2 linked regions of the Oryctolagus cuniculus genome follow. The protein of the gene in region 2 interacts with the protein of the main gene of each other region in a pairwise test. Links are inferred from orthologs where the notes say so. Each region holds a gene or a part of one and is shown on either strand. Other genes may lie near its edges.

Region 1 (3,656 bases), on a different chromosome or scaffold from region 2:
GAGACTCTGTAATATCTGAAGCAGTTGAGAAGCATCCTGAAGCAGAATATGAAAAGCAAAAAACAATTCTATGAAGTTATTCAAAGTCTCTCCTCATCATCTAATCCATCCAAAAGAAACAGCTTTCTATGAAAACAGAAACAAAAGAGCACTGACTCCTTATTGTGTTGTGGACATGAAACACTAAGAAACACCTACAGGATATGAAGATATCCGGTATTATTAAATGGAAAATTAATCTAAAACAAAGCTCAAAGGAATAAAGCATGCTCAATCTTCAGTTCTGGCAGTTCTCTCAGATATAACATTTTTACTACTTATCAACATAAAGAGTTCCACAATTTAGCAATGAAAAATCATCATTATATAGCCTCACACATTGAGCTCCAGGAGCCTCATAAAGGGTATCACAGTTGGATGAACCATATTTGCCTCTTTTTTTTTTGACAGGCAGACAGAGAGAGAGAGACAGAGAGAAAGGTCTTCCTTCTGTTGGTTCACCCCCCAGATGGCTGCTACGGCCGGTGTGCCGCACCGATCCAAAGCCAGAAGCCAGGTGCTTCCTCCTGGTCTCCCATGTGGGTGCAGAGCCCAAGCACGTGGGCCATCCTCCACTGCCTTCCCAGGCCACAGCAGAGAGCTGGACTGGAAGAGGAGCAACCAGGACAGAATCCAGCGCCCCAAACGGGACTAGAACCAGGGGTGCCGACGCCACAGGTGGGGATTAGCCAAGTGAGCCACAGCACCGGCCCATATTTGCCTCTTAAAGTCTCTTTTAATAGCAAAGATTCAATGAGAACCTCACCATTGCAGAAGATAGCTGCACAAATGCAAAGCCTCTGTTCTGCTGGGTCTGTTTGTCTTTTATGAGGCGAATGTTATTGACAGCTAAAGACGCATAGGGAGACAGCGCTGTCATGATGGAATCCACCACAGTGTGTGGGGCTATGTTCCGAAGAATGATCGCTAGGGGTGAAAGAAAAAAATGACATATTAAATGCATTCCCACCATCAATGCTTTTCAAGGCAGGTTCAAGTATCAACACATCCATTTGGGGAGGTTCCTAGAATATTTTTACCCGGACACAGAAAAGATTCTTAAAACTCATCTTTTATGGGACAACCTGAAGCTGCTGTTGCTGATTCAAAAGGGTGAGAACAAAAATTTCCAACTGAGGTTAACTTTTAATACACAGGCCAAAAGATCACATTTCAACTTACTATCACAGTAGTAATCCACAGACTGAACTGACTCTGTGGTTCCTGGGGGCACCTCCTGTTCAGAGTCTGGAAGAAGTGAAAGTCACCCAATGAAGGCAAGCCAAACAAACACCAATGTATTTTCAGTAAATTTGATGTACATCTATCAGTCTTTTTTTTTTTTTTTTTAAGGATTTGTGGCTATAGCAAAGCCTCAATAATTATGACACGGTTGATGTAGGATGAAATTTTGGGCCAGAACAGAACTGCCATGACCAGACTCACAGACAATAATCCAATTAGACAAGTTTTAATGCACATTCCAAATAGCTAAAACCACGCTTACCAAACTTGTCTGCTCCACATCGGAAGCATTTTAGTCTTTTCCTGAAATTGTTCAGCCAGCACTGGGGAAAAAAAAAAATCTGTAATTATTTTCCTGACTTGGTAATTATTTTATTATTATATTAGGCCAGGCTTTCCACTGATATGTGGATTAGAGCAATGGCAACATGGGTAAATACTACATATATATATATATATACACACACCCACACACACACCCACACACCCACACACATATATATCAGAAACTGACATATTTCTGAGACAAATGGGCAAAAGCTAAATATTCAGAATATTATATGAATTTTTAAAGATTCATTTGCTTATTTTAAAGAGTTACAAAGAAAATCTTCTATCTGCTGGTTCATTCCCCAAGTGGCAACAGCCACAGTGGTGGCAGGCCAAAGTTGGAGACAGGAGTTTCTTCCAGGTCTCCCATATGGGTGCAAGGGCCCAAGTATTTGGGCCATCTTCAGCTGCTTTCCCAAGCCATTAGCAAGGAGCTGAATTGGGAGTGGAACAGCCAGGATACAAACCAGTGCCCATATGGGATATGCATAGCTTTACCCACTACACCGTAATATCAGGTCCCAACTATGTGAATTTCAAAATTTTTGTGTTGTATTTTTAATTATTTTTATCCAGTTGGGAAAAGGTTTCAGCACAATCAAAAACTACAGAAATGGCAGGAATTTGGTCTAGGGATGAGATGCCCATATAAAATGAGTGCCTGAGTTTATTGGATACCTGTCTGCCAATGCAGACCCTGGGAAGCAGCAATGCAGGGGAACTAGCCTAAGTTTTGAGCTTTGGCCTGGCCCAGTCCCAGCCATTCTGAGTATTCAGAGAATGAATCAGAGAATGTTCTGTCTGAGTCTCTCAAATAAGAAGCAAAACAAACAAACAAAATCACAAATAAACAAACAAACCTAAAACAACCTATAGCCAGCCACTGGTGAAGTTCTTCCTTATACTGAGACAGCATTTATTGCACCACTCAATATAAACAAACCCAACATGAAGACTATTTGGTCACCTACTGGAAGGGGAAGCGTATAAAGAATTTAAGCACTCTCAAAAACAACAATGCCAACACCAAGTTCAAAATGGTGCACTTGAGAGAGGACCATAGCAGATTTTACTTTAGCAAGGTTCTTAAGAAATTTTATTAGAACAATTTAGGAGACTATGCCACAAATTTAGAGCTCTAGAATTCAATAAAGCAAAAACATATCTAAAATTGTAATTTAAATATTGGGCTTAGAATCTGGGTTTTTAATTTTTTTTTAAGGCATAGAAACAGACATATACAAAGATATCTTTCATCCTCTTGTTCACTCCCCAAATGGCAGGGATCTGGAACTCAATTTGAGACTTCCAAATGGGTGGCAGGTACCCAAGGACTTGAGCTATCATCACTGCATCCCAGGGTGCACATCAGCAGGAAGGCGGACCTGAGGCAGAGGAGCTGGGACTCAAAGCAGCTCCAACGTGGGATGCAAACATCGTATGTGGCATCTTAACCATTTTCCAAATACTGATCTTAGAACCTGGATCTTTTTTTTTTTTTTTTTTTTTTTGGACAGGCAGAGTGGACAGTGAGAGAGAGAGACAGAGAGAGAAAGGTCTTCCTTTGCCGCTGGTTCACCCTCCAATGGCCGCCGCTGCAGCCGGCGCACCGCGCTGATCCTGGCAGGAGCCAGGAGCCAGGTGCTTTTCCTGGTCTCCCATGGGGTGCAGGGCCCAAGCACCTGGGCCATCCTCCACTGCACTCCCTGGCCATAGCAGAGAGCTGGCCTGGAAGAGGGGCAACCGGGACAGAATCCGGCGCCCCAACCGGGACTAGAACCCGGTGTGCCGGCGCCGCAAGGTGGAGGATTAGCCTATTGAGCCACGGCGCCGGCTTTTTTTTTTTTTTTTTTTTTTAAAGATTTTATTTATTTATTTGAGAGGTAGAGTTACAGACAGTCCGAGGGAGAGACAGACAGAAAGGTCTTGCTTCCATTGGTTCACTCTCCAAGCGGCCGTAACGGCCAGAACTGCGCCTATCTGAAGCCAGGAGCCAGGCGCTTCTTCCTGGTCTCCTACATGGGTGCAGGGGTCCAAGGACT
Region 2 (3,656 bases):
TTAGAATTTATTTCTCCAGAGTGGGGATGAAGAGTGATAGACTGATGAGTTGTCCATCTGTTGGTTAACTCTCCAAATAGCCACAACCCTGGGACTGGGCCAAGGCCGAAGCAGGATCCTGAAACTCCATCCAGGTCTCCTGCATGGGTTAACAGGACGCAAATACTGCGACCGTCTTCCACTGCTTCCCCAGGAGCATTTGCAGGGAGTGGGATCAGAAGTGGAACAGCTAGGAACATAACTAGCACTCAAGTGGGATGTCAGTGTTGCAGGCAGTAACTTAGAGCACATACCGGCCCCAGTAATATATTTTTATGGCATATCTTACTAGTTTCTGATCCTTTCTTTTGGCATATTAATTAATTTATTTATTTGAAAGAGAGTTTCAGAGAGAAAGAGAGTGCTTCCATCTGCTGCTTTGCACCACAGATGGCTGTAAGGGCTGGAATGGGCTGATCTGAAGCCAGGATCTTCCAGGTCTCCCACATGAGTACAGGGGCCCAAACACTTGGGCAATCTAATTCTGGATTCCCAGGCACATTAGCAGGGAGCTGGATCAGAAGTGGAGTATCTGGGGTTTGACCCAGTGCCCATATGAGATGCTGGAGCCATAGGCAGTGGCTTTACCCACCATGCCACCGTCCTGGCCCCTTTTAGCATATTTTTGTAACTGTTGCTCACCTTGTCTTTCATCCCTTCATTACGTACAAGAGGGCTCATTTCTTTAAGCAGTGTCTTTGTTGCTCAGATTCCTGTCATCTCAGCCCTCAAAATCACTGATAACGCTGGAACAACTACCAGGACAAGCACTCATCAGAAGGACATTTGTTTACACTTGTGTCTTCCTTTTTTTTTTCTCTCTCCTATACCGCTTAGATCTTGGCCAGGGTTGCCGTGTTAAGGGTTTAAAGCTGACTGAATATTTTCTGACATTATCTTATCAGTCCTTTGACATATAATTTCATAAGTGGTTTTTTTTGACAGAGTGGACAGAGAGATAGGTCTTCCTTTGCCGTTGGTTCACCCTCCAATGGCCGCCGCGGCCGGCACACTGCGCTGACCCGAAGGCAGGAGCCAGGTGCTTCTCCTGGTCTCCCATGGGGTGCAGGGCCATCCTCCACTGCACTCCTGGGCCACAGCAGAGAGGTGGCCTGGAAGAGGGGCAACCAGGACAGAATCTGGCGCCCCGACCGGGACTAGAACCCGGTGTGCCGGTGCCGCTAGGCTGAGGATTAGCCTGTTGAGCCGCGGCACCAGCTAGTTTTGTTTTTAAAATTTTATTTATTTATTTGAGAGGCAGAGTTACAGACAGTGAGAGGAGAAGCAGAAAGGTTTCCTTCCATTGGTTCACTCTCCAAATGGCCACAACGGCCATAGTTGAGCTGATCTGAAGCCAGGAGCCAGGTGCTTTTTTCCGGTCTCCTACGTGGGTACGGGGGGCCCAAGGACTTGGCCCATCTTCTGCTGCTTTCCCAGGCGAAAGCAGAGAGCTGGATTGGAAGAGGAGCATCTGGGGACTAGAACCGGCGCCCATATGGGATGCTGGTGCTGTAGGTGGAGATTAACCTACTGTGCCACCATGGTGCGGGTCCCCAAGTTTTGGTTTTGAAAGTGTTGGTTCATGTAAATTTACATGTTTAATGTTTTACTTAAAATTTTTAAATAATTTGTAATAAATAACATAACTTGCTGTAGTTCAGGCTTTTCTGCATTTGATATTTAAATCACAGTGTATTTGAAATTTTTAAGCTTTATAATAGATAACAATGAAAATATTTTTACCTTTACTATTCTGTTTTTTGAGACCATGTAAGAACCCTTGAAGACAATTTCAAGTAGTTTACTGTTTTCTTTCAGGTGATAGTTATGAGTGCTACTCTGGATGCAGGAAAATTCCAGATTTACTTCGATAACTGTCCACTCTTAACTATTCCTGGGCGTACACATCCTGTTGAGATCTTCTATACTCCAGAACCGGAGAGAGATTATCTTGAAGCAGCAATCCGAACAGTGATCCAGATTCATATGTGTGAAGAGGAGGAGGGAGATCTTCTGCTTTTCTTAACTGGTCAAGAGGTATTGTCATTGTTTCCTTCGTTAATAGCCTTTGACACATTTCTATCAAGCAGCGGCCTTGATTTAGATATTAACTATATTTTTCTTATCCCGTTGTTTGAAGTTTTTCTTCAACCTGATTGTACTAACATATTAAACATGACCCTTTTATTTATGTACTCTGGGAAATTTTTTTTTCTTTGGCGACTGATTGTGTTAATTATAGCAAGAGTGTTAAGTGCTTTTAGAATTTCAGGATTTAGCAGTTGTATCAATTTTGATGCAGCCTGGGTTGTGTTATTTTGCTGATGCATGAATTGGAATCCCAGCTCCTGTAAAATCATGCATTTCTTCAATTCAAAATTGGTTGTTTTGGTTATGAGTGAAGTTAGGTGTCCATCCACCCTCAAAATGTTTGTCTTCTTTTTGTTCGTTCTTTTGCATGTGCTGAGGATTGAAGGGATCAGTGAAGTTTCCTAGTTAGAACTTCATTTTTAGACAACAGATTTTCATGTGTAGTAGCTTTTCTTTTTTCAGAAGTTTTTCATTTGAGAGGTAGAGTGACAGAGATATCTTCCATCTGCTGGTTTACTCCCCAGATGGCATTAAGGACTGGGCTAGGCCAGGTGGAAGCCAGATTTCAGGAACTCCATCCTGGTCTTCCACAAGGATGGCAGGGTGCCAGGTACTTAAGCCATCTTCATTGTTTTCCCAGGCACATTGATGGAGAGCTGGATAGGAAACAGCAGCAGGGTTTTGAACTGGCAGTCTGATATGGGATGCTGATGGCTGCTTCACCCACTAGACTACAGTGTTTGCCCCACAAGTGTACTATTTCTATTTTTTTTTTTAACAGGCAGAGTGGACAGTGAGAGAGAGAGACAGAGAGAAAGGTCTTCCTTTGCCGTTGGTTCACCCCCCAATGGCCACTGCGGCCGGCGCACTGCGGCCAGCGCACCGCGCTGATCCGATGGCAGGAGCCAGGTGCTTTTCCTGGTCTCCCATGGGGTGCAGGGCCCAAGTACCTGGGCCATCCTCCACTGCACTCCCGGGCCACAGCAGAGAGCTGGCCTAGAAGAGGGGCAACCGGGACAGAATCCGGCGCCCCGACCGGGACTAGAACCCGGTGTGCCGGCGCCGCTAGGTGGAGGATTAGCCTAGTGAGCCGCGGTGCCTGCCTACTATTTCTATTTACAGCAGGGCATTTATAGGTATGCTATTAAATTCTTCAAAGGCTAAATGCAAGAAAAGCTATTTGGATAAAACAACATTTTAGGAAACCATTTCATAGAGATTGTTATGAGCTTTTTTTCTTTTGATCTCATGGGCCTTGTGAATTTTCCAGAATATAATTTTTTCTTTTAACTATTTCTTTGTTTGAAAGGCAGTGTTACAGAGAGGCAGTGGCAGAGATAGAGTGGGTAGCAAGAGCGAGCTTCTATCTGCTGGTTCACTCCCCAGATGGCCTCAAAGGCCGGAGCTGGGCTGTTCCAATGTTTGGAGCCAGGAGCTTCCTCCAGGTCTCCCATACGGGTGCAGTCCTTGGGCCATCTTCTGCTGCCTTCCTATGCCATAGCAGAGAGTTGGATTGGAAGTGTAGC

Evidence for each region. The genes of interacting proteins can lie anywhere in the genome.
Region 1: the proteins of DHX15 (region 2) and RBM5 interact in binary tests that used the Homo sapiens proteins (3 or more experiments, as listed by UniProt). The link is inferred for Oryctolagus cuniculus from reciprocal best matches to the Homo sapiens genes DHX15 and RBM5.

The regions. Positions count from the first base shown.
Region 1 is NC_091441.1:99,195,392-99,199,047, forward strand, and holds part of RBM5 (RNA-binding protein 5), read right to left. Parts: intron 1,608-3,656; coding exon 1,547-1,607; intron 1,288-1,546; coding exon 1,222-1,287; intron 967-1,221; coding exon 806-966; intron 37-805; coding exon 1-36. UniProt on the Homo sapiens protein: Component of the spliceosome A complex. Binds to ssRNA containing the consensus sequence 5'-AGGUAA-3'. Regulates alternative splicing of a number of mRNAs.
Region 2 is NC_091433.1:19,757,301-19,760,956, reverse strand, and holds part of DHX15 (ATP-dependent RNA helicase DHX15), read left to right. Parts: intron 1-1,857; coding exon 1,858-2,076; intron 2,077-3,656.